Cricetulus griseus: one gene and its partners. The protein of the gene in region 4 purifies or fractionates together with the protein of the main gene of each other region. This does not show direct contact. Links are inferred from orthologs where the notes say so. Each region holds a gene or a part of one and is shown on either strand. Other genes may lie near its edges. The genes, in order: Strn, Nck2, Strn3, Mink1, Strn4, Cnot9 and Strip1.

Evidence for each region.
Region 1: the proteins of Mink1 (region 4) and Strn purify together in Homo sapiens (affinity purification with mass spectrometry; 3 studies listed by BioGRID and IntAct, with this or other methods). This does not show direct contact. The link is inferred for Cricetulus griseus from reciprocal best matches to the Homo sapiens genes MINK1 and STRN.
Region 2: the proteins of Mink1 (region 4) and Nck2 purify together in Homo sapiens (affinity purification with mass spectrometry; 3 studies listed by BioGRID and IntAct, counting the BioPlex papers as one, with this or other methods). This does not show direct contact. The link is inferred for Cricetulus griseus from reciprocal best matches to the Homo sapiens genes MINK1 and NCK2.
Region 3: the proteins of Mink1 (region 4) and Strn3 purify together in Homo sapiens (affinity purification with mass spectrometry; 3 studies listed by BioGRID and IntAct, with this or other methods). This does not show direct contact. The link is inferred for Cricetulus griseus from reciprocal best matches to the Homo sapiens genes MINK1 and STRN3.
Region 5: the proteins of Mink1 (region 4) and Strn4 purify together in Homo sapiens (affinity purification with mass spectrometry; 3 studies listed by BioGRID and IntAct, with this or other methods). This does not show direct contact. The link is inferred for Cricetulus griseus from reciprocal best matches to the Homo sapiens genes MINK1 and STRN4.
Region 6: the proteins of Mink1 (region 4) and Cnot9 purify together in Homo sapiens (affinity purification with mass spectrometry; 3 studies listed by BioGRID and IntAct, with this or other methods). This does not show direct contact. The link is inferred for Cricetulus griseus from reciprocal best matches to the Homo sapiens genes MINK1 and CNOT9.
Region 7: the proteins of Mink1 (region 4) and Strip1 purify together in Homo sapiens (affinity purification with mass spectrometry; 3 studies listed by BioGRID and IntAct, with this or other methods). This does not show direct contact. The link is inferred for Cricetulus griseus from reciprocal best matches to the Homo sapiens genes MINK1 and STRIP1.

The regions. Positions count from the first base shown.
Region 1 is NC_048600.1:5,360,587-5,364,086, forward strand, and holds part of Strn (striatin), read left to right. Parts: intron 1-872; coding exon 873-959; intron 960-1,435; coding exon 1,436-1,579; intron 1,580-3,500. UniProt on the Homo sapiens protein: Calmodulin-binding scaffolding protein which is the center of the striatin-interacting phosphatase and kinase (STRIPAK) complexes.
Region 2 is NW_023276807.1:5,069,783-5,073,712, reverse strand, and holds the start of Nck2 (cytoplasmic protein NCK2), read left to right. Parts: upstream 1-1,130; 5' UTR 1,131-1,266; exon of another isoform or gene 1,267-1,277; intron 1,278-2,035; exon of another isoform or gene 2,036-2,222; intron 2,223-3,930. UniProt on the Homo sapiens protein: Adapter protein which associates with tyrosine-phosphorylated growth factor receptors or their cellular substrates. Maintains low levels of EIF2S1 phosphorylation by promoting its dephosphorylation by PP1.
Region 3 is NC_048598.1:150,631,855-150,635,354, forward strand, and holds part of Strn3 (striatin-3), read left to right. Parts: intron 1-2,806; coding exon 2,807-2,980; intron 2,981-3,500. UniProt on the Homo sapiens protein: Calmodulin-binding scaffolding protein which is the center of the striatin-interacting phosphatase and kinase (STRIPAK) complexes.
Region 4 is NC_048600.1:84,406,482-84,409,981, reverse strand, and holds part of Mink1 (misshapen-like kinase 1), read right to left. Parts: intron 3,380-3,500; coding exon 3,314-3,379; intron 1,708-3,313; coding exon 1,651-1,707; intron 1,562-1,650; coding exon 1,436-1,561; intron 1-1,435. UniProt on the Homo sapiens protein: Serine/threonine kinase which acts as a negative regulator of Ras-related Rap2-mediated signal transduction to control neuronal structure and AMPA receptor trafficking.
Region 5 is NC_048602.1:11,451,216-11,454,715, reverse strand, and holds part of Strn4 (striatin-4), read right to left. Parts: intron 2,964-3,500; coding exon 2,857-2,963; intron 2,311-2,856; coding exon 2,237-2,310; intron 1,103-2,236; coding exon 1,024-1,102; intron 1-1,023. UniProt on the Homo sapiens protein: Calmodulin-binding scaffolding protein which is the center of the striatin-interacting phosphatase and kinase (STRIPAK) complexes.
Region 6 is NC_048595.1:427,755,696-427,759,866, forward strand, and holds the start of Cnot9 (CCR4-NOT transcription complex subunit 9), read left to right. Parts: upstream 1-1,371; 5' UTR 1,372-1,757; coding exon 1,758-1,781; intron 1,782-4,171. UniProt on the Homo sapiens protein: Component of the CCR4-NOT complex which is one of the major cellular mRNA deadenylases and is linked to various cellular processes including bulk mRNA degradation, miRNA-mediated repression, translational repression during translational initiation and general transcription regulation.
Region 7 is NW_023276806.1:49,542,704-49,546,203, reverse strand, and holds part of Strip1 (striatin-interacting protein 1), read right to left. Parts: intron 3,257-3,500; coding exon 3,130-3,256; intron 2,926-3,129; coding exon 2,825-2,925; intron 2,179-2,824; coding exon 2,112-2,178; intron 1,641-2,111; coding exon 1,536-1,640; intron 619-1,535; coding exon 414-618; intron 1-413. UniProt on the Homo sapiens protein: Plays a role in the regulation of cell morphology and cytoskeletal organization. Required in the cortical actin filament dynamics and cell shape. Part of the striatin-interacting phosphatase and kinase (STRIPAK) complexes.

The DNA of each region.
Region 1 (3,500 bases), about 79 Mb from region 4:
TTAACATTAAAGCAAAACTATTTAATCCCTTTATTCAAATATGCTAAAAAACTTTAAACTTAAAATATATATTGACACATGAATTTCTATGGCTTTTAGAACCATTCTCAAGCTAGTTAAACTAAAATGTTGAAGATAATTTGTATATCGTACATTAGAAATTATTTCCAGACTAAAAACCAATGTCGATGTATTTTTTGGGCATATTATGTTATAAAATTAGTATGTTGGGATGTAAAGATTTTTTAATTAGAAAGGTAGCCAAGACTTCTGTGGAACTCATCTCCTCTTACATTGTGATTAGAGTTTAGCCTTTCAGATCTAAACCTGCACCATTTGACTGGAATAGTATTCCTACTAGCAGAAGCAATTGAGTTCCCTGCTCCTGGGGATTGATAACTATATTTAAATATATAGCACATGGGCTTTTTAAATGAAGAAGTGTTAACTCTCTGGGGAGAAATGTGAATGATTTGCACTGACGATAAGGAGTGTAGACTAAGGCCAGCACATTTTATTTATTCTTTTCACTTGTTATTTGGTTAAAACAGTAATATGAGGACAAGTGAAGACCTGTGATAAAGAGGAAAATGAAGTAAAGCTTTGAATTGGTATAAGAAACATTAATTTATAAGCCACCAAAATATACTTTTTAATTGAGCTGTTACCCACTGTAAACTTCTTGTTGTTTTTAATTGGTCTACTGTAAGTATATCCAGTCAAATTGTGTACTCCAGTCACATTATCTTTAATTTTCTAGGAATTAGTTAAAATAGCTTAGAAATAGTTGTATTCTTTGCTATGGTATGTATAGGAAATACCATAACGGACTATGGGTAAGATTTTCCCATTCTTAATTAAACTTGTAACAGGAAAAACTACCGAAGATCTGTTTCAGCCTCTATCCTATATAAAACAGTCAAAACAGGGATGTGGGAGAATGAAGAATCAAAGCCCAGGTAAGTGACAATAGGGCATGAGACTTCACTTTGGGTTCCATAGCTGCAGGATGTAAGGCAATGAATGTAACTTAATTTAAACAAGCAGAGACGTTATTTTTCAATTGAGTTTACATTTGGTTCATGATCTGTGATTGTCTTCATTTAGACCAATAGTCATTGGGTTCATTGTAGATGAATATGACTTTTAATGATACATATTGGACATGGCATTCTTTTTCATGTAGTGATTCCATTAACTTAATTTATAAAACATGTATTTAAATATCATTTTTTTCCAGAAATGATAAACTCTTAAACTTTGAAAACCTCGAAAATAACTACTTCTTATTGATCACTCTAGTAGGACATTTTAAAGGTGAATGTTGGCAGATGTGAAAAAGTTTATTGTACAGTTTTTATGAAATGAGTGATTCTGTTTTCTCTTTTGTTTTTTCTCCTCTGCGCCCCCCCCCCCTTTTTTTTTTTTTGGCTAGGGCCCAACAGGTCAAAACTACAAGACATGCTTGCTAATTTGAGAGATGTAGATGAACTTCCTTCATTGCAGCCGTCTGTTGGCTCCCCTTCCAGACCCAGCAGCTCTAGGCTCCCTGAGCAAGAGATCAGGAGGGCAGATGAAGGTGAGCACCTGGACCTGTGGCTGGTACAGGCACCTTAGAGAGCACCCAGCCCGCACACACTGCTTTCTTAAGTCAGTGGGGATGACTCCAGCTTCGGGTGAGAGGCATAAATTTTAGAACTGCTCTTAGTTTCTGCTTTGGAATATGCCCTAGCTCCATTGACAAGAGTGGTAACAGGCTTATTCAGTTCAGCCTTGAGAAAATTGAGTCTAAAATTGGTACTAAATGTTCACTGTGAAAGTCAGCATACTTAATTTATCATTGATTTTAAAAATGAAGGAACACCAGATATGGTGATACATGCTTTAATCCTAGCACTCAGAGGCAGAGGAAACCAGTTCTCTGAGAGTTTGAAGCCAACCTGTCTCCAGAGCAAGTTCCAGAGCAGTCAAAGGTGGCATAGTGAGATCCTATCTCAAAGCAACAGCAAAATGGAGGGAAAGTTACCTGGTTTCTTGCTTCCCATGTTTCCATTGCCTTTCAAAAGTCCTTATCCACTTGCATATTTTTTTAAACATAATTACAGCCATTATGTAGAATAGCTCTGTTTTGTTTTATGTTTAACATAAAATCATATGTTGATAATTTTTCAAGCTCAGCTTTAATGCTACATATTACACTTGGTGATAGAGCATGTTCCTATCACACAGAGCTCAGTTTTAACTCCTGCACTAGGGTAGAGGAGTGAGTGAAGGAGACAGATGGTGTCCCCTTGATGTCATATTAGAATTCCAGTTAGTTTTTTAAAAGCTCTTTAAGGGCATCAGTATTTAGTTACCCAAAGCACTGTAACCTGTTTCTTAACTTCTGAGGCTAAAGAGAACAAGATGCCTACCTTCTTAGAGACATGATGTGCCTGTTGCTTTCTCTGACTACTGACTAGACCTTCTTAGACTATTAGTTAGTACTAACCCATGCTGTGGCCAGTCTCAGGAGACTTACTGTTTCAGGACAAGCGAATTTATAGAAGTGGGCTGGGCAATGGTGGTGTACAGCTTTAAACCCAGAACTCAGGAGGTAGAGGCAGGTGGATCTCAGTAAGATCAAGGCCAGCCTGGTCTACAGAGTGTAGAGGCAGGTGGATCTCAGTAAGTTCAAGGCCAGCCTGGTCTACAGAGTGTAGAGGCAGGTGGATCTCAGTAAGTTCAAGGCCAGCCTGGTCTACAGAGTGAGTTCCAGGACAGCCAGGACTGTTACCTAGAGAAACTCTGTCTCAAAAAACAAATGAGAGAGAGAGAGAGAGAGAGAGAGAGAGAGAGAGATTAGAAATGAAAAACAGAATAAACTAAAGACAACTGCTGAATACCTAGTCTCCCAGGCACACATGAAGTATTTGATATTTTGGCCTGAAAATTACTGTTTGGACAGTTTCCACTATGCAAACACTAGGGTTCTTTGAACCCTTCAAATGACATGCAGCATTTAGATGAGGCTCATTTTTATTAATGCTACTCTTGTGTGTATGTGGTTTGATAGTGGTTTAATTTATATTCTATTTTATTCTACAGTAACTGTCTTTTTCCTGATGAAGATTTTGAGTTTCTGTTACTACTACTAGGTTTTTGTCACCATTTATCCCTGACTAGCCTGAGCTGGTTAAATAGACCAGGCTGGCCTTGAGGTTCCTCTGCCTGTGCCTCCAGAGTGCTGGGACTAAAGGTGTGCACCACCACACCCAGACACCACTACTGTTTTAAGGCCAGCTATTAAAAGCAAGCAACTATTATTTAATGTCTTCAACAAGTACCTATTATTAAACATGATTAACTGTAGCACTGAAAAACAACTTTTAAGTCTGTTGTGTACTGGATATAATTAACTCACTTCTTTGTTTAAAAATAACATCTCTTTAGCAAATCTTTTGAATTGTTAAATTCATCTTAAATATTTGTAGTCAGTGAAGCAGCCTCTGGAAAAGGCA
Region 2 (3,930 bases), on a different chromosome or scaffold from region 4:
GAATACCAGACAAAAGCCATCTTGTCTCCATAAACACTAGCACACACATACATACAGAAAACATCCATCTCACAATGAAAACACCACACCCTTTTTGGGAATACTGTTGTCTGATGCTTGGAAGACAACTACTCACAGACAGAGACGGGCTGGCCAGAAAAGTAAGAATGGGAACGAAAGACCTTACAACAAGATGCTGGACTTCAGACAACAGCAAAAGTGTCACCTGTCTGCAGGAAAACTAGATGGGCTAGGGTTTGAGAAGGAGCTATTGAATTTAGATACAAGATGCCACTGGGGACCTGGGGACTTGCTGTAAAGAGACTCTCTCTCTCTCTCTCTCTCTCTCTCTCTCTCTCTCTCTCTATATATATATATATATATATATATATATATGCATTTGATTGGGGGCTTACTTATAATTTCAGAGACATAGTCCATTATCATTAAGGCAGGGAGCATGTCAGCAAGCAGGCAGGCATGCAGTGGAGAGACACACTGGGCCTGGCCTAGCTTTTGAAACCTCAAAGCCCACCCCCAGTGACACACCGCCACCCACAAGGACACACCTCCTAATCCAAATAGTTCACCAATTGGGGATTAACCATATGAGCCTATGGGAGCCATTCTTCTTCAAACCTCCCTAGGGATTTAATAGTAAGAGAAGCAGTCTGAGGCCACTATTCAAAGAAAAGGCTAAAAAAGCTGGGTCTGTATTGTCCTACCTTATTTAGAGTGAATGGATTTTAAATACGGTTAAACTATTGATTACCGTTCTGCTTTCCTTATTGTAAAGCTAGATATTAGCAGGATGAGGTCTGCACAAAAGAATGAAAGGAGATAGCATCTCCGACTGGAAGGGGATGTCGGATATGCTGATTTTGTACCTAATGCTTTTTGGTCGGGCTATGTGCCAGATACTTTACATGGGAAGCAGGCAAACATCTCACGTGATAAAGTTGAGAAAGGTTGTGAAAGACACGTGTAAGGTGACACAGTTCAGGAAGCCTACAATCGTGCTATGATTACAAAGCCAAGCTTCCTCAGGTTACCCATGGCTGGAAACTTCCTTTAGGGAGGGAGGCAGCTGACTGGCCACTTAGGGTGAATTGTTTCTGCCTTGATAAGGAGGAGCCAAGGGCCAGGGTAGAATCTCATTAACATAAATGCGAGCTACCCAACCAGAAACTGAATTCATTTGAATATTAAGGCTTCCTTTGGAGAACCATGAGAGAAGGAGCTTGGAGAAGAAACATCTGGATTCCGGTGTGTAAGGCGTATGTGTTCCTTCCTCTTGTTCTAGGGTTCTAGCTTTCTAAATTTGCTTACAGGTTAGCCACTACTCAAGGCTGGTTGAGCGAGGGCGCCTTCCCAGCCTTCTCCTGTGCTAAATGAGAAATCCCAGGCTCCATAGAGCTGGCCTGGGCGCCCGGGAGGCAGCGGAGGTCGGGTTTCCTCTCCTCCCCCTAGGAAGTGGTCCCGCCTGAGAGGATGGAGTAAAAAAAGTGTCTGGTTGGGAAAGTAAATAGATGCAAGGCAAATAAATAAAGAAAATGCCCACAAGCAATTACTGGGAGGAAGTGACATTTTTATGTAAGTCACTTTTCTGACGGACACCAGGCCAGCTTGGCCGAGAGTGCCGTGGGAATGCTTTCGGGGAGGGGGGGTGATGGGGTGGTCGCTGTAAGAATCCAAGGCACAGCGGGGGTGCGGAGACCACCCGGTGGGACTAGCGGGCTGGAAGTAGCACTGCATTCTTTCCTCGTTCCCCTGCCCGCCCCCCAACTCCGATCGAGAGCGGGTTGCTGCCTAAAGCCCGCAGGCGGCGCTTTTCCCGGGCCCGGCCGGGACTCCCAGGTGGGTCCCCCGCCCGGCGCGCGCCGAGCTGGGCCGGCCCCTGGGCGGCGTCACGACAGCCGGGGAGGAGCGCGGGCGGGCGGGGAGCGCGCGGAGGCGGGCGCTGCGCGGGAGGGTCGCCGCCGCGGATCGCAGGCCGGGGCGCGCGGCCGAGCGGGCGGCGGCGGCGGCGGCGGGGAGGGCTCGGCAACGGGCAGGGCTCGGGGCTCCCGGCCGGCGGGGTCCGCCCGGGCCGGCAGCGTCCGCCCGGCGGCGGGAGGAGGGAGCGGCGTAGACAAAGAGCGGCATTTGGGCGGGCGCAGCGCGGCCGCCGCCCCGGGACCCGCGCCTCTGCCCTCCGGCCTCGGCGTGCGGTGTATAGAGAGGTAAGGCGACGGGCGGGGGGCTGCAAACTTGGTTGGGTCGGTAGAGTTGGGAGAGAGGGGCCGGCGGGCAGGGGCCGCCCGGGAAGGAGCAGGGAGCGCGTCCCCCCTGCGCGCCCCGCTGGTGCCCTCGGCCCCGCCGCGGCCTGGGCGTCCCCGGGTACCCGCACCTCGGAAACACACCTTTCTGCGAGCCCTCGCCTTCCCCAGCCTTGGGCTGGCGTGGGGGTGGGGCGCCCTCCTCGGGCTGACACCGGGGACCAGGACCGAGAGCCCCCGGGAGCACAAGCAGCCCTGGCCTGCGGGCGGGCGGGCGTGGGACCGAGCCGTGGCCCGGTCGCCGGGCGCGCGTGCCTGGGAAGAATAGCCTGGGATCTAAGGGCCCCGGCGCTAGGAAGCTAGGGGCTGCGATGGCCGGGGAGAACTTACTGTATTTAGAACTATAAGTGATCCGGCACAAAGCTACTGTCACGTCTCATACAAGAGGTCCGTGCCTCGGTGCAGGGCGCTTTTATGCCAGGTTCCAGTCCGTGTGCCCTGCCCCTCATTCCCAAGGCTTAAACCTCCAGAGCCAAAGTTTCTCTCAGCCGCCTTGCCCCTTCGGTTTGTTCAGGGCGATTTAAGCAAGTGGTTTTTGCAAGAATTTGATGTGGGACTTTTAATGCCCCGACGGCACCTCCCTTTTGAGCACTGTTAGCTTGGCATTGTGTGGAGGGGTTTGATTTGCAAAACGCTGTAATTTATACACTGTAACGATTCTCCCGGAAGGTGTGCGCGGGACTCTGGGTGGTGGTTAATGGATAGCAGACGTGACTTACAGTAGTATTGTGAATAGCTTGGGGACACAGCTGGGCGCTAAATAGCGTGGGCCCTGCCACCCTAGCCTGTTCAGGTCGGCAGTTTGTCCCTTATTTACTTTTCCTTATTTTGCTAAGAGGTTTAAAGGCTAATCCTGCCAAGTTTGAGTCTGTGTCTGGGATGAACAGGTCCCAGTTTGGGTTGGAGGTGCCCAGGCCTGCTCCTTGGTTGACCCCAAATGAAACAGCCCATTGGCCAGTGGGCATGGCCTGGAGACTCCTTTGCTGCTCCTCACCCATTGCAGGCTTTTCTGCAGGGGTTTTGAGGAGGAATGAAAATAATTTTGCATGTGTTTCAAGCCTGGGTTTTGGGTATAGTTATCAACAGTGGTTTTCTAGTGTAAAGGTCACCACTTTATCAAAACATCGTGGGCACTCCCCTCCATTCACTTTCCAAGTGTTTATAGATACAGAGATTTAGAAACAGACATTCGTGTTTAATATAGCGAAGGCAGCCAGTGGACACAAGGAGAAAGTGCACTTCAGTTAGTTAAGGTTTTAGACCTTGGGGATTGTTCCTAAATGACCACAAGGGACAGTCCTACCTTAAACTTTCTCACATTCTAGTCGGTTAATGTAGTTTTGATGGAAGAAAGAAAGGTCCCAGTGGTCTGAGGCTAAAATTGAGAACTTTGTGCGGCCGTAAAACTTGGAGTTACAGCCCCACCACCTGCCTTGCTCTCAGCCTCTTAGATGTGCAGCGACTCCTGGGTGGGGAGTTGCTGAATGAGCCCTGGCTGCTTGAGAGTTGATCAGCCCACCTGTGGAGAGACTGGCCCCTTTAAAATGGGCAGAGCAGATACAAGGTGGTTTCCAGCTCCCCGTAGTCCGATTCCAGGCTCTCAGTTTTGCAT
Region 3 (3,500 bases), on a different chromosome or scaffold from region 4:
ATCTCATCTTGTGATGCTGGAAACTCAACCCAGGACCTCTGCAAGAGCAGCAGGTGCTTTTAACCACTGAGATGTCTCTAGATTATAGTGAAAGGTTTGAGGAAACCTTTTGATGCTTGTCTATTGATGTATTAAAGATAACTGTGGCAAATTCTATTTATTGTCTTTTTATCTAGTGGTTTTTTATTTTTATAGTTGGAAATTTTGCTGTTTGTATCCTGCTGATAGCCCTGGAGTATAGGTGGATCCTTTATATTGTTATGACTCATAACTACTGTACTTCTGTCTAAGCAGAACTGGAGGTCCTGGAACTCATTCTGTACATCACGCTTGCCTCGAACTCAGAGGTCCGCCTGCTTCTGCCTCCTGATTCCTGGGACTAAAGACATGTACCACCACTACCCAAATGTATTCTTTTCTTTACTCCAGTTTTTGTGTTATTTGCCATTTGATTGTACCAGGCCTTTTCCTTTGGACCACCAACCAGCTCCCAAATCATGATACAGAGACTTATGAGTTTTGAATGTTTGGACTAGCTAAGGCTCGTTTCTGGTTAGGCTTTTTAACTTAAATTTACCTGTTTTTCTTCATCTGCCTTTTGCCTCTTTATCTTCTCTACTTGTGGCTGCTTTGTGTCCTTAGCTGTACCTTAAACATGATGCATCCTCTTTTTTTAGTATCATTTGATCACTTGCTGCCCACTGGTCAATTTCACCAGAGTATGAATAAAACCAAAGCCTTAGTTCAGTCTTGCCTTCTGATCTCCAATTCTAATTAACTCATGGAAAAAAGCAATAGAATCAAGTGGATGATATTAACCACTAGCTTACGTCATACAGAGAACCTCGATCTATACCCCATTCACTATTCCTACTGCCCTCAGTGGGGGTTCCAAACTCATACCATATCTCAGCATAATCACTCATACTTTCAGTAGTGATCCTCTGCTTCCACTTAGAACATGAGATTAGAATTCTTTCAAATTTTTACTTTGCTTTCTATAATAGGTTTAAGCATCTTATTTGTTACCCATTTCCAGATTCTTCTACATCACTAAAACCTGAACTACAGAGTTTTGAGGGGAAAGGGCACTAGAATAATTAGCAGAGTTTGAACTAAAGTCTTAATAATACGGGTCAAGTCAGGTAGCTTTGAGGAACTTGCAGAGAAAATCCCAGGACACAGTCTTAATCTCTGTCTGGTTGGTTGTCTACTTCTGTTAATTAGTTTTATTGTTTTCTTCTGAAGAAAAACTACTTGTTTTCCCCATGTGACAGCTTCCCCTTCCTCCATTTTTTATCCAGGTTGTGTAAGACCTTGGTAGTTACTTTAGACCAAAGTTTAGAGACTAGGGTAGGGTAGGGAAAGGAATTGTTTCCATCACATGTAGATTGCAATGTCATATTGGATTCTAACTTAATTACTTGGCTTAGATAAGTGTTCTTTGAAAACCACAGAACCAGAGGAATGCTTTGGAATCTGAGATCCAAAAGGGGATTAGTCCTTGACAAATCACTGGCCTAGAACTTAGCATGGTGCTGTTCTGAGGCTCAGGTCTACTTATTCTCTCATATACCTTGGATATTAAAAAAGAAAAACCAAAAACGTACGTGTGTGTGTGTGTGTGTGTGTGTGTGTGTGTGTGTGTGTGTGTGTGTGTGTGTGTAAATTCACATACCTATTTAAAAGATATGTATGTGTCTGGATGGAGGTATGCCTTTATACGTGTGTGTGTGTGTGTGTGTGTGTGTGTGTGTGTGTGTGTGTGTATTTCAAAAGCTTTTTTAAAGCTCTGAGTCTTTTTTAGATATTGAGATAAAGGGCTCTTAATCAGAGGTACCCACACTATCTTCTCTTCTCCCCTCCCCTCCCCTCCCCTCCCCTTTTCTTGCTTTGTCAAGACAGGGTTTCTAGCTCTGGCTATCTTGGAATTTCTCTGTATACCAGACTGGCCTCAACTCAAGATCCATCTGTCTCTGCATCCTGAGTTCTTTGATTAAAGGTGTGTGCCACAACACCCCACCTTACTTCAATTTTTTTAAAGACTATTTTTTTGTGTGTGTGTGTGTACTAGTGTTGTCTGGATATATGCATATGTACCACATGTGTTCCGGGTGCCCACGTAAGTCAGAACAGGATGTTGATACCCTGAAACTGGCGTTATGGGTGGTTGTGAGCCACTGTGTGAGCATTATCTCCAGCCCCTGTATTTCAATTTTGACTTACAGTTGACATCATTCTCTTAGAACTGGAACTAGTCTATAGTGGAGCTATTGAGACAAAGAAAAAGTATTTTGTGTGATTATGGAGTTTTCTTAAAAAAATAATAATATGATTTTATGGTGGCAGGTGTTAACAGTGTGTTGTTTTTAAAATTATATTTATTTTATGTGCATTGGTATTTTGCCTGCATATATGTCTGTGTGAGGGTGTCAGATCTTGGAGTTACAAATAGTAAGCTGCCAGGTGGGTGCTGGGAATTGAACCCAGGTCTTCTGGAAGAGCATTCAGTGCTCTTTTTTTTTTTTTTTTTAAAGATTTTTGTTTATTTATTTATTTATTTATTATGTATACAACATTCTGCTTCCATGTATATCTGCACACCAGAAGAGGGCACCAGATCTCATAACGGATGGTTGTGAGCCACCACGAGGTTGCTGGAAATTGAACTCAGGACCTCTGGATGAGCAGTCAGTGCTCTTAACCTCTGAGCCATCTCTCCAGCTCCCGTATTCAGTGTTCTTAATCCTGAGCCATTTCTAACCCCCAGTATGTTGAATTTTAATGTTTAATTTTCTTTTGATAGGTATCTTCAGGAAGTAGGATACACAGATACAATACTAGATGTACGATCTCAACGGGTAAGGTCATTACTTGGACTGTCTAATTCAGAACCAAATGGATCCATAGAAGCAAAGAATTTAGAACAGATCCTGAATGGTGGTGAATCTCCTAAACAAAAAGGACAAGAAATCAAAAGGTATGATTTGTAGGTTAACATTGTTTAACTTTACATACATTAAAGGTGGTTGTATGGCAGAGACTTTTCATTGTGAATGTCAATTTTAGCTAGATTTTTCTGCAGTTGTTCTTATTGTTAGACATGAAATGACTGAAGACACCTTTTTGTATACATAGGAACTCAAAGTAATTTCAGTAAAGATTATTGCTATTGTCTGTTACATGATTAGTTTTGAAATACTTGAAATATTTTAACAGATTAAAGATACTTTTTTTTTCTACATAAGAAATCTATAAAATGTCTGTCTCTTGGGTCCTGGAACCCTGACTATGGGAGCATTCTTCAGGCCATAAGTTTCTGGGGAAGGGAGTAGAAAGCTACTGTGTACATTTCTACACACACTGTCAACATTCACAGTTGAATCAGAGGAAGACTTGCATCCCTCTGAGCCTCATCCTGGAAAGGGTTTGCCACCCTATGGGGCTATTGCTCATGTCCTTATTATTCTCTAGGTAGATCTGGCTGGCCTATAACTTAG
Region 4 (3,500 bases):
TTCCAACTGAGCTATCTCCTCAGCATGTTTTCACCACATTTAATAATTAGGGGGAGAAAACCAAAACAATCCCACAAATACCCAGAGTTCTATTTCATGACACATGAGAATAATACCAAATTTTTGTGACCTAAATATAAACCTGAGAATTAAGGCACAGTTATGTTTGGTTCTGTTTGAGTGAGGGTCTTTTTATGTAACCCCGGGCAGTCTCACACTTATGAAACTCCTGCCCTCAGCCTCTGTGTGAGCCACTATGCTCAGCTAGTCATGCTCATTTGTCTATGTACTATCTATTGCTTTCACAGAGTGTCAGCAGAACTGAGTAATGATAAGAGCAAACATGACCAAGAAAGCCTAAAGCATTTACTATTTGGACTTTTCACAAAAATGCTCAACATTCTCGATTCAGAGGCAAGAAGGGCTGAGTCTGCTAGGGAAGTTCATGGGGCTCCACTTAGTGTGCTGCTAGAGGGAGCAATTTTTTCCAACCGTTTTTCACTAAAATTGGCATCTAATTTAGGTTGGGACTGGTATGTTTGCTATGCAATCAAAGTTAATTTTCATGTGCCCCATCACCGGGACAGCACGGTGGGTGGAGAAGCAGTCCAGTACCCCATACATTAATATGAGAGTGTTTGGCCACTATTGCCTAGCTACCAGTTCCCAGTGGTCTCCCACTATACACAACTACGTGAGCTGCATGTGTCCCCCCAAATCCTTGAAGCCATTGAGACTGGAACTATGACTCATGCTCAAATTTGAAGGGTAGATAGAAGATGCTTATTAAACAGCTAGAGTCCAGCCGACTTCTAGCATGTTCTCCAAAACTCCCAATAGCCACAATGATGTCCTTTGCCACTCTCCCCTCAGCTTATGGGCCCAGTACCACAAAGGCTGAGGCCAGGAAATTGGTGGCACCAGTGTCCAAGCTAGGGAGCAAATGACTCTTAGGAATGATCTGGGCCAGGAGGTATTTATTTGTGTAGGCTCTGGTTCAAATCATCACCCAGAAGGGCTGTATACTGCCAGGATGGGCCTGAGTCCTATTGTTTCCTATAGCTACTTTGATTCTATGGCTCTCCCAAAATTGTTTTCAAAGGCACAAAGAACTTAAGAACTAAGCCACCCCTCATCTCCAACCACATCTTCTGGCTATGACCAAGACTCTATTGCTCACTCGTCAAGCAGTGCTTGCTGACCTGTCAGGGTAAAGTGCCAGGTGGAGGGGCCAAACACTAGGATTCCTGACACTAAACACACAAGGGAACAAGACCCTGGGCATACAGACTGAAAAGTAGAGTTCTGAGTGAGTCATGAGGCTCCTTTGGATCCATAATTAAGGCAGGGATGTTAGAACAGATATTGGCCTTGAGTTCCACATGAGCGGTCTGGAGCAGAGACGTCTGGGAGGGGCAGGAGGGGCATTTCTTACCCAGAGCTGGTCATCGTTCCCAGGGGGGCTTTTCTTGATAAAGGCCCCATAGTAGGTGGCAATATTTCGATGGTGAGAGTACTTTTTTAACATGTTGATTTCCTGTTTGATCTCTTCCTCCTCGTCCTAAGGCAAAAGGGGGAGGGGGGGTAAGGCCTGAGATCCTACAGTCCCTTTTCGATGCCAACCCCACCCTTCCCCACCTCATTTCCTACCTCTGTGACATCCATGACCTTAATGGCAGCCAGCTGCCCAGTCTTGACATGCCGACCCTGCAAGAAAGTCGAGTATAGAGAATGTGGAGAGGTCAGGTATATGCTCACTTAGTAAAATAACAAAGAGGAACTAATTTTGGGGAGAGCCCTGTCTCTTAGTGCTTTTCTACCTTAGAACATGCCCTTCATGTGGGCAGAAGCCTTGCTTTTACAGAGCAGAAGGCAGAGGGGAGGCCCTGAGCCATCACAGCTAACACAGAACAGCCTAGACATTTATTTCTAGGCTGTAAAGATAACGTTCAACAAAGAAGACAGCTCTTCTATACAACACCTGAGGTGCAGGATGGATGCCACTGCTCTGTTCCAGCAAGTTAGAAACTCCCATATCCTAATGCAGGCTGGAAAGGGGCTAACCCTCTCCTTCATCTATGTAAGATAAAATGTCTGGTGCTTTCCTGGCCAAGCCACTCTCGATAGAAGGCCTTTCCCTGGATCAATCTCATGCCCAAGGTGTTTTATGTTATCAGGGAAAGAACAGACTCACAGCTGAGTGTAGGAAACACAAGTAAGCAAAGGGACCAACTGGTGTGTGCTACACCTCTAGTCACCAGTCTTAATGGTGGGAAACCTTTCAGAGTGTTTGTGTCACAGCTTCTCTACCTCAATTCCAACCCCACCCCATCCACCCTTCTGAAATCCTTTGTTAAGAACTATCAATGGCTTGGACAAGAAAGTCCCAAGCTTCCTGAGCAGAGCAGGATGGGACAGCAGCCACTCATGGGAAGGACATGGGAATTGCCACCCCAAGTCCTGTTTTCTTCAGCAGCCACCCACGATCCCAAGTACAGAAAGGCACAGCTATCTATATGGACACGACTCAGCAGGAGCTGTGCACTGCCTGTTCCCCCAAAGCCCATGCTTACAAAAGGAAAGGGGTAGATGAAAGAAAGGCTGGTGGTCTCAGTGACCAGGAGACTCAGAGAGGCAAGACACCGGTGGAAAGAAATGTCAGGAGCCGTGCCCTGAGATAAGGAAGCAGACTAAATGTTCTGTGGACAGCACCCACCCTAAATATCCCTTTCATTGTGGAGACTTCATGTACGGGCAGAGCTCTGGCTACTTGAGAGGGCTAAGCTGGCCAAGCTGTAAAGCTAATCAGGGGTAGAGGAAATGCCACTTCTGTGGGAGGAAAAGCAGTTCAAAAGCAGGAGGCTGGGGCTCTGGCGTGCTCCCTGGGGCAAGCAGCTGCAGGAGGTCAAGAAAGCTGCTTCCTCTCTGCAGGCCACCAGTGAGGGCCCATCAACCCCAAGCCTCCTTGTGGGCTTGGGAGGTGTCAACCCACACTTCTGGCATGAATTGTGAATTTCCAGGTAAGCCCTGACACCCACATCCCCATGTGCTCTTCCTGCTTCCTATCCCACAACCATCAGCTGCAGCCAGGTTCCTGCCATACCCAGGAACATGTCTACACTCAGAGATGATGTCTCCCTTCTTTCTGTTGCTGCTCTCTGTAGTCTGTGCTTTTTTTCCCAATTTGAGGGGCTCCCAGCCTCTGTCATCTCCTATAGCTTCCCTCAGATTGCCAGTCCTGGGATCCACTTCCTCGGTTGCTCTAAAGAGGGCCCCACTGGTCTGAAGGTTGTATTTCTGTCCCATGTCTCACCTTGTATACCTGTCCATAGGTTCCATTGCCAACCACCTCCACCAGCTCAAAGATTCCTGCAGGGTCCTGGGAGGAGGGAGAAGAACAAGGTGTCATCACTTCAACAAGGACTGTGATGCTAGAGGGGAAGAAGCTGTCAATCAGGACACGAGTGGCAGAGAAGGGTAACACTTAGGGGATTGTGGAG
Region 5 (3,500 bases), on a different chromosome or scaffold from region 4:
ATCTCTGGCTTTCCAGAAGGGTGCCTATTACATGGTGGTGATTTTTTTTTTTTTTTTTTTTTTTTTAATTTGGTTTTTCGAGACAGGGTTTCTCTGTGGCTTTGGAGGCTGCCCTGGAACTAGCTCTTGTAGACCAGGCTGGCCTCGAACTCACAGAGATCCGCCTGCCTCTGTCTCCCGAGTGCTGGGATTAAAGGCGTGCGCCTCCACCGCCCACCGCCCACCGCCCCGCGGTGGTGGTGATTTTTATGGTGCTGGGGGGATGGACTCCAGGGCCTGGCCCACAGTAAGTAAGGGCTCAACCCTTAAGCCACATTCCACCCATGAGATTCTGAACATTATATAACCTAGCTAATCTATACAGAGGATTTGATAATACTTAGTCAAAGCATTACAAAACCTAAGAACAGTAAAAGCAGAGTCCCGGCTCTTAACACAGTACAGAGCACACCACTCTCAACTCGGGGCACCTCTCCAAGTGTTGGGGTGGATGGTGGAGATGCCAATGTGTACAGGGTCATATTTGCTCAGAAGTGGTACTATTTACTTCTCAGGTATCCTAAAATGCTAAAATCTTTAACAAAAATCCTGATTTGGCTGGAGGCTGGTGGTCCACCAATTCTGTTTGGGCCTCTCTTCTCTTAAGACATAGGACAGCTCACCTCTCAGAGGGCAAGTCAACAGGGCTCACCAGGTCCTCTGAGAACCTGGGTTGAACCCACAGCACCCAGGTACTACTATTGCTATAATTTAACTTTACTCTTTAAAAAATAACTTCCCCTAACATTATTCTTTTAAGAGGAAATGTCAGAGAACTATGCAGGGTTGAGTTTGGGGTGTGGGAAGGTGGCCCCTGCTGCAAGTCTTCCCTCTAATTCCCGTCGGGTGACGGCAGTGTGGGATCCTGATAGTTCATGTCCCAGTGGGGACAGGAAGGACTGTGGATTCCTTGGGCTTATCTTCTGAGCCAAGTATGCTGTGTGTTTCATGCCCCATCCTGTCCCACCCCTCCCCCTCACTCACTGTCGCAGAAGCTGTCGCCCCTCCTTCCACACCAACGGGCTGTTCTCCAGTGTGACCGACTCCACAGGGCCATTAGACACTAGAGAGAAGAGAGGAGGCCGTCTCAGTCGGGGCATGGATACTTTCCTGTCACCCCTCCATCCTCTCCCATCAAGTCTGAATCTGCCACCATCACCGCCCTTGTCCCCACCTCCTGAGTGCATTCCACCCACTCTCCCACACCAAGTGACTCCTCTCTTGGATGCTCTCCTCACTGCTAGGCTTCTGACTGGCCGCTGCCAACCGCCCCCAATAACAGAGCCGTGCCTCCACACGCATGGCTGGCTGCTCCTTCCTATGCAGGGAGTGGGCAGACTGGCTCTACAAAGTGGGCAGGCTGGGGTCGAGTCGGCTCTGCACTTCCTAGAGCAGCTCTGAGCACCTACGAAAGCCTGCTTCCCATGAAACAGCTTTCACCTCTCAGGGTGAGGAGACGCTGGCTGGGAAACCTGCTCTGTGCATTGCTCATCGGGTATCCACTGGGCATCTATAAGGCTGGGATAGACGCCTGGGCCACACCAATCAAGAACTCACATCTTGGCAGGAGAAGATGACCTCCCTCCCTTGACCCCGAGGCCAAGGGCTTCACAAAGCCCTAGACCAAGCTCCCAGCATCAGCGGCACAGCCAAACACACCGTCTACCCGCACTGCCTGGATACTAGTGCTCACCTGAAAACACCCATCCCCTCCCTCCCATGGGCATCTGGCCCCTCCTCCAGTGCCCACAGAACAGGACTACATCTATCCTGCTCTTCACCGTGCCCCTGTCCTGTGACAGGAAGCCAACAAACACATCATGTATCAACTTTTGAGGGTAAATGACTGAATGACAGTCCAGTGCAAACACCACCTCTTCAGTGACGTCTTTCCTACGCTTTCCAAAGCATGCCATAAATAGTTCCACTCACTCCCCTAGCAGGAGGAAGCAGGAGCTGCTGGGGCGTCCATCACGCCCTGAGGACAGCAGGATGGCAGGCAGGTGGGGCTGGGCAGTCTGAAACAGGACTGATGGGAAGACACACCAGCATGCAGCTCTACCCCACTCCACCCTACAGCCACTGCTGCTTTTCAAGGAGCCAAGTAAGAAAGCACAGGAGGCCATCTGCAACGTCTCTCTCTATGCCAAGCAGCTGCCATGCCAGCGTGGCCAAGGGAGGGTGCAAGTGCAGGTACCTTGTTCGGACACATCTGTCTTCTTCTCCCCCTGGTTCAGGTCTGTCCCGAACTTCAGCTTATGGTATTTGGCCCTAAAACAGCAAATAACAAATGAGTAGAGATGAGTAGACAGGGCGATGCTGGGTGGTGGGGGCGCTCGCCTTTAGTCCCAACACTTGGGAGGCAGAGGTAGACAAATCTCCACGAGTTCAAAGCCAGCCTGGTCTACAAAGCAAGTTTCAGGACAGTCAGAGCTATACAGAAAGGCCCTGTCTCGAAAAACAAGACAAAAAAGCAGACAAGGCAAAGACCACCTCAGAAAGCCCAAGTCCCAGGCCTCTTTCATTCACTCCCTGCCCCACAGTACCAGCTCTAAGAGCCTCAGTTCCTTCCCAGAACCTCAGCCAGCAACACCATCAGACTGTGGCAAGAATAAGCAAGGTAGCAGCTGTCCAGAATTGGTGCACACAGGTTTGCCAAAGTCCCTAAAGCTGCTGCTGGCAGCTGAATCCACCCACCACAATCTGTTTCACCCCGCTCCTGGGGATGACGGGAAGAGGAAGGTGGAGAAACTTCCTCTGCTGGCAGCCTGCCACCCTATCTGAAACAGTGACCTCTCTGGCAGGGGCAGCTCTCACCTCTCCTGCTTTAGTGCATATTCTAGCATCTTGATCCGCCGCACCAGGTCCGTCTTTAGATTCTCTTGGCCTTTCCTCTCACCTTGGAGGAAAGCCACCTGAGCCTGGGACAGAAGAGAAAGTTAGATAGCATGGCTGAGGGTCACTGATGCTGTGTCTCCCTCCCCAGTTCAGGAACAGCTTCAGGGCCTCCCCCACAGCGATGCCAGTGTTCAATAAGAAGAGAGGACAGGCTGGGCCCACCTCCAGGGTCTCCGGGTCTACTACCCATAAAAGAGCTCAATCTATAATCTCAGCACTTGGGAGGCTGAGGCAAAGGGACTGCTACACCTTCAAGTCTAGTATGAGCTAAGATTAAGACTCTACCTTACAAAGAAGAAAAGGAAAAAGAAAAGAAAGAGAAGCTGAGGAGCCATTTTTAACCCATGGAGTTCAAACAGGGACAGCATGGCCTGACTTGGCTATGGCCTTCTGAGGAGTTAGGTCAGGGATGGGCGGGGGCGTTAAGCATTAACAGCTGTGTCCCTATGGTTGCTGGTGGAGGCGGCAGCCCACTCTTCCTTCAGAGCGTCTGTTGCTGGGAGGCGTAGGAAGCTACTTCTGGCACTCAGGGACAAGAGTAGGAGCCTGGGCTCAGCTCCCAC
Region 6 (4,171 bases), on a different chromosome or scaffold from region 4:
TGGAATATAGAGAGAAATGGAAGGGCAACAGAAGAGAACCCCAGCCCAAAGCCAAGTCATTTTACCTTGACAAATTTCCCACCAAGACAACTGATTACATCTGTCACTAGGTTTTTAAGTCCCTTGTTTACCTTTTGCCAGTATGCAACGCTATTCTTTCCTCTCTTTACCCGTTATTACACGTTATTAATCATCTCAATGCTGCCGAAGCACCCTTCCTTTCTAGCACTTGTACTCTTCTTTAGGCAATGTCATGCATAGGCATGTCCCAAATTTAACATGGCAAGTGACTCACATAACATACAAACACACATGTATTTATTTGTATGTCTGGCCCAGAACCTTCCTCTTACCTTTAACCCAATAAACCCAAATTGCTCCTTAATATTCTCTTTCAGCTGGACTCATAAGGGACTGTAGCTCGCCAAAATACACCCGAAAACCATTACAGCACAACTCTCCAAAGACAGGGAACTTGATTTAAAATTGGTAAATTGGACATCGCCGGTGTTGGCTAGATACTGGAGGCAACCAAATAAATGCACGACAAGCATTCCACTCCCTGACTTTCAATGAACAGTTTTTAAGAGGAGGAGGGAAGTAACGAAGGGCCCAGAGGGCGAATGAGTATCACACATCCAAGGTCTGGTGTGTGGCCACGGGAAGTCACCTGTAAAGACAGCAGGCCTTGTTAGGAGGCAAGCCGAGACCACCGCAGCCCTGCTCAACAGGAGCCGGGCTTAGAACGCGGAAAGCGAGTGGCAATACGGACCGTGTTGAAGGAGAGGGAAAGTGGAGGGGAGACACTCCAATGGGCGCACCTGTAAGGGACCCGGGGAGCGTCCAGGGACCCGGGGCGGGCTGAGCAGCAGCCGGGCGAACTCCGGAGTGGGCGGACCGCCGGCTGTGGGGGGGGGGGGGTGAGGCTGGGGAAAACGGCTCAATTCACAGGCTGTCCCGGCCCGCCTTACCTGTGCCGGAGGGTCCCAGCCTAGGACGGGCCAGCCAGAAGCACAGGGTTTCCGCAGAGGGGGAGGAGCCGAGGGGCTCGGAAGGAAGGGGGCTCCCCTGGACCCAGAAAGGGAGGCCGTGCTCTCCTCTACACTCCTAAACCCGCTGATGGCGGGAACTGTGACTATACGCAAACACGTACGCACGCACGCACTCCCGACGCAGCCAGTCCGGGCGCGTGCGCGTCAGCGCTCAAGCCCCGCCCCCGAGCCCTCGGCCCGCCCCTCCCCGAGCCCTGCCCCTCACCCGGGCGGCCCGGCCCCTGCCGTGACGGAACCGTAGGACACATGCGCACTCTCCATTTTACCGACTTCGGACCTCCCACCATTTTCCCTTCGCTCGGCTCAGCCCGGTGGAGCATGCGCAGTTCGCGTCCTTCCATACCGCCGGCCTTTTCCCGCCCTTCTCTGGCCTTAGGAGGGAAGTCAGGGTCCGCGCTCCTCTGGGGATATACCTGCGATGCCGGGGGGTTACTAGGACCCGTAGGTTGCAGACGTCGTTCTGATCCTGACTCTCGAGTGTCAAAGGGCGTACATACTCTGGGACTATTAGCTAGGCCGAGGGCCAGGAGGCGGGAAGGGGCTGTGTGGGTGGAGGGTCAGAGGTGAGAGGTCAGAGGGCTGCCAAGGGGGAGGAGCGAGCCGGAGGCGGATGGCGGCTCTTCATCTCCGGCTGCACAGCCGCTGAAGCTGGGACGCGGGTCCGGCGCGTCGGGCGGGAGGAGGAGAGCGGCGGCCGCTCCCAACATGCACAGCCTGGCGACGGCGGCGGTGAGTGGCTGCGCCCGGATGCCCGTCTCAGCCCGCTTCCTAGTTCCCGGAGCCGGGCCCCGAGTCCAGCTGCTTCTGCCCCTGGCCGCGAGGTCCGGGAGTCTCCACACGGCGCCCTGGCCGTGGCGGAGTCCGACCCTCCCAGCTATCCCTGCCGCCGCGTCCGTCTCTTCTCCTGGCCCCTTGCGCGCGGCCTCTCGCGTTCTTTTCCGGCGCCGCGGCCTGGTCCCCGCGCGGCCTCGGCAGGCCATTCATTGATTCACGTGAGCCCGGCGTCAGTTTCTGGGGGCCACGGTCGAGTGCCGGGCCTCGGCGGGGATAAGAATATCATTCCATGGCCATTCGCTCTGGGCCCCGGCTCCGGGAACACGTCGCCTAGGCACAATCTCAGTGGGAAGGACACGGCTTCTAGCTCAAAAGCCGGAGCCCCGGAGTTCAGGATGATTCCTTCTGGCTTACGGTCCTCTGCGTTTAAAGCCTTCCTCGCACATCTCGTTTTATCTTTTAACAAGAAAAGCTAGTCGCCGTATTACACCTCCCTGAAGTCATCCTGTGGCTTTTGGTTACTTTTAGAGAAAGTAGATGCTTTGGCCTACAAGCCCCGTATGATGTGGTCCTTAGTCACGTTTTAATGGGCTCCGTTTTTGTCACTTGCTCCTTAAGCTCCGACCAAAAGTGCATGCACTTTTCCACTGAATGACACAGTCTCTAGTTTCTTTGCCTGGAATTGTCCTTCTTAGGACTGCCTCCATACATACAAGTCTGTCCCCAGAGTGACTTTCTGACCATGTTCACAGTAGCTTCTAACCCCAACATTTACTCTTGTATTGATTTTCCAGTGTGTAATTACTGGATTATTTAACTTGTGGGATGTCTGTCTCCCTCTCGGGGTCAGGGACAGGATTGTGTGTGTGTGTGTGAATTCTGTTTACTTGGTTTTCCCACTGCTAGAACAGTTCCTACAAGGTAAGCACTATGCACTCTGACAACCGTATGGAAAGAGGGATAATTTAAGAACACTTACAAGCCTGGTAATGGCGCATGCTTTAAATCCCAGCACTTGGAAGGCAGAGGCAGGTGAATCTCTGTGTTTGAGGCCAGCTTGTTTCACAGAACAAATAGAGGGCTGCCAAGGCAAAACGGAAAAAAAAAAGTTCTCAGTATGTATTTCTTCAATTATATTTGCAGTGCTGTACATAGATTAAAAAACTTGAACATTTGTTATGCTGTTTGACCCACGTGGCGGCTCTGACAAGTTCTTTTGTACCACTCATCTGGTAGGATATTTAGTGAGGATACTGAAGAATAAAAATTTGAGGCAGCGGGCGTTGGTGCCGCATGCCTTTAATCCCAGCACTCGGGAGGCAGAGGCAGGAGGATCTCTGTGAGTTCGAGGCCAGCCTGGTCTACAGATCAAGTTTCAAGATAACCTCCAAAGCAATACGGAGAAACTCTGTCTCGAGGGGAAAAAAAATTGAGGCAGTTCCTTCATAATCCCGTATTCCCATAAGCATCCAAACTCCTTATGTTATTTTGATCTGAGCAAGAAAAACAAAATTATGATGTACTAGGATCACATGCAGCAATACCCACAAAAACCTAAATCTTTTGAGAAGGCGCTTGGTTTTTGTTTAATAATGAAAACTAGTGTGTATGTGTTCATATTGTGGGTGTGCATGTGTGGAGGTCAGAGTCAGTTTGGGGGTTGTTCCTCTTTACTATATATAGCTAGGGAGATAGGAAGTACTATTAAAGGGCAATGAATGCAGGTGTTATTTACTAGAGAAACAGTAGCAAAAGACACTGAGGTAGTGTGCTCTTGTCATTATGGAATATATTCTAATATCTGTTATCAAAAAAAGTGTTTTGTTTTTTTTCCTATCGTGGGCAGAAAACAATGAAGGGCTATTTACAAAATTAGTAAGTGTAAGGGCATAAACGGACATGGCTAAGCAGGTGAGAGGTCAAATCCCAGCACTCACATAAAAAGTCAGCTGTGACTCCCATGTGTGCAACCCCAGACAGCTCTGGGGTTAGAGAATCAATAATCACTAGGGGTTGCTAACTACTAGCCTCGCCTGGAAGGAATATGGCCAGGAATGATTGAGGAGCTCTCTGTGCACACATATATATACCACACACATGCTCATACCATGTAAAAAAGTAGAATGCTACTGATGTTTAAAAAAAAAAAAAAAAGATGAGATGCTTGCCTCCAAGCCTGGTGACCTGAGTTTGTTGACAGAACCCACTGGTGGGAAAAGAGAAATAACTCCCACAGGTCATTCTCTTAACTTTCACACATGCACCATGGCACATACACGTACTCAGTAAGTAAATGAGGAAAAGAAAACCCCCAAAACTAAATAGTTGGTCTTTGGCTAGGTTCT
Region 7 (3,500 bases), on a different chromosome or scaffold from region 4:
ATGGCAATTTCTAGAAAAGACATGATTTAGAGTAGAGAGATGGAGAAACAGATGACCACAGACACTGAGCAGTTTTCCACTTTTGCCTGGTGCTCCCTTCTTGGTGCCACAAAAACTAGAGCCAGGTTCCTTTTTTTTTTGTTTTTGTTTTTTGTTTTTCAAGACAGGGTTTTCCTTTGTACTTTTAGAGCCTGTCCTGGAACTAGCTCTTGTAGACCAGGATGGTGTCAAACTCACAGAGATCGCCTGTCTCTACCTCCAAAATACTGGGATTAAAGGTGTGCACCACCACCGCCCAGCTAGCCAGGCCCCGTCTGTGCCTCAGGGTAGAAACAGCTAAGGTACCAGAGGCAAGGAGTCAAAAGTGTGCCTTGTCCCACCCTCTTCCAATCTTGCTTCCCAAATGGCCTTACCATTGCCGTATGCCCAGTCGTCGTTCAGCCGATGTCGCACCTTCTGGTAGATGGCAGACATTGTCTTCATGTTGCTCTTGCGCCACTGTCGCCCCAAGTATTTGGTCTGCACTTTGAGCAGCTTTAGCACATAGAGCTGCATCATGGCTTGCTTCACCTTCAGGGCCCGCTTCAGGATGGGTGCCGACTTGAACACCACCAGCATCTGTGTGGACACAGTGACAGCCATTGCAAGGAAAGGAGTAAGTGTGTGTGCCACTACATGGTCACTTAACACTTGCCAGGTAGGGAACAGGGCGACAAGCCATGCAGTTTCTCCTAAACTCACTGGTTTTCTGGTACACAGAGAAAACTTTAAGCACTAAAACTAGCACAGCTACGGCAAACCACAAGGGTTGGTCACCCTAATTATGGGTCACTCTGTAATCTCCTTTCTGAGAATTCATGGACCTGCCCTGTCCAAAGGTCAGGATCAGGGATAAGGCGGCTCTCGGACCCCTGACTATCATTTCCCAATCAGGATCAAGAGGCTACGGAAGATGTATCTGTAAGGGTGGATTTGTTTCAGTGCATGACTGAGAGTCTCTACCAGCTTCTGCTTCTACCAAGAACCAGATGTCTGCAGAACTGAGTAAGGACAATGCTGCCTCAAAAGCTCCATCCTCGTCAGGCGTTGGTGGCACATGCCTTTAATCCCAGCACTTGGGAGGCAGAGGCAGGTGGATCTCTGTGAGTTCAAGGCCAGCCTGGTCTCCAGAGCAAGTGCCAGGATAGGCTCCAAAGCTACACAGAGAAACCCTGTCTCAAAAAACAAACAATCAGGGGCTGGAGAGATGGCTCAGAGGTTAAGAGCACCAACTGCTCTTCCAGAGGTCCTGAGTTCAATTCCCAGCAACCACATGGTGGCTCACAACCATCTGTTATGAGATCTGGTGCCCCCTTCTGGTGTACAGATATACATGGAAGTAGAATGTTGTATATATAATAAATAAAATCTTAAAACAAACAAACAAAAAACAAAAGCTCCACCCTGAGGACTCCCTGCCCCAGGTGAGGGGAGGCATAGCACGTGGCACTCCTCTGTGAGTTCCCAGTTCCAGACTTGCTGCAGCAGTGACTCACCATGGTCCTTGAGTGTTTCCATTTTGTTAGTTTGTTCAAGATCCGAAGAAGATTAATGCAAGAAAAGAGGTTCCTCCAGCAAAACTGGTTGTTGTCACCAGCTTCCTGCAGGGAAAAGGAAAAGGAAAAGCAGCCACAGGCTGCTCAGCAGTGTCCAATGGCCTTGACAAATATACCACAGTGGCCATGTGTCAATGCTTCTAGCATCAAGTTCTCTGTCTCACAGCCAAAGGGAAACTCCATCCCACAAGTTGAAAGAGAAGCAGGGACTCAATAGACTTTTCCTGAAGGAAGCATGGGCCATAAAACCAGGAACCATAGCCCCAGACTTCAGTGGGAAGATGCAAGCAGCTTGAGTAGGCAAGTTCTAGGTCAGCAGCCCCTGCAGAACATGCTCCCTGACTAGCCCTAACCTATCCCAGGTGTTCTGCCCTATAAAATCCCTCCCCAACTTTATGGCCATTTCTGGCATTTTAAAAGCCAAAGGTGACCTCATCTGAAAGATTCCTCTATCTTTGCTTTGCAGGAGGCAACCCTCATAACAAAGGAATAGCCAGGGCAATCCCAGCCACTCACCAGACTCTCTGCAGTTAACTCTGGAAGCTCATTTACCACGCAGTGAGGGTAATCCAGGACAGAAATGCTGAAGAATGCAAGAAGACACAGTGTGCACCGTGAGTAAAGGCTGGGTCTGTCAGTAGCCATGATTTAAACTGAAGCAGAAGTAGCAATCTACCTTACTTGCTCTAACCCTGACTATAAGATGAGGAACTATCTGCTACAATACATGTGGAAAGTTTCCCTATGACAGGTTCAGTTTATAATCTAATTAGTAACCTGCAGCTTTCCCCATAACATGAATCTAGGAGGTAGGGCTCAAGACAATTGATGTATGCCAAGCTCTCTTAGAAGCCACAGCTACCCAGACACTTCCCTTGTGATGTCTCACACTGATAAGCAGGTGCTATCAGGTCCAGCGGGCACAAGGTGGGTGTTAAGGAAGGCCAAGCTCCTTACAGAGAACTGTGAGGGGAAAGGGAAGAAGGATAGAAGTAGTAGTGAAGGCAATTCTGGAGCTTAGGATGAGAGCCTCCTGGTCAAAAACAAAGTCACTAGACTAGCTAACCTCAAAACAGACACACTGTCATTCATTTTGTCTCCTGATGCCTGGCAAAGTGTTGACTCATAGATGCTCAGAAAAATGTCTGCTGAGGAGTCTCAATGGAGAGGCCAGATAGAAATCCTGCCATTTGCCTATTCTACCCTTTCTTGGCCCTGGTCCTTATCACCTGTTCTTGGCAGTGATGTAGGACATGATATTTTGATTGAAGAACTTCAGGATCAAAGGAATGCAGTTGGCAAAGACCAGGTGCTGAGCCATGTATTCAAACTGAAACCAACAGAAGAAAAATAAGCATGCCTCTTATTCTCTTTTCTCTAGAGACAAAAAGCCTTGGCTGGATAATCTCATATTAGAATGCTCATGCAGAGAGCTTAAGTGGGCTCAAAGCCAAGCCCTATTCTCGGGTTAGGGAGCAGTATGGACTGAGGCACAGGCGCAGTGCACACGAAGGCAGACAGACCCTACAGGTACCTGGTAGATGTGGTTCAACTTAAAGTGCTTGAGCAGCAGCAGCAGCACAGCAGAAATGGCCTTAACGATGACCTCCTTGTGGCGGTTCACATCCACCCCCAGCTTCATGCTCTGCAACACTGTGGTGCTAGAAACACAAGTGCCTGATGAGTCGCCAGCACACACACAGCACCTTCTGCCTAGGCATCCATAGTGGGGATGGATTCCAGAACCCTCTGGTAAAGGACCAAATCCCACAAACACTTCAGAGGTCAGCCTTAGGAATCCCATCTACCCATCTCCCAAATGATCCAGCCAGACACAACTTCCATCTTCCCCATGATGCTGCCCATCTAGTTCCTGATTTACTTAGAAGTTCACTCAGTGACAGT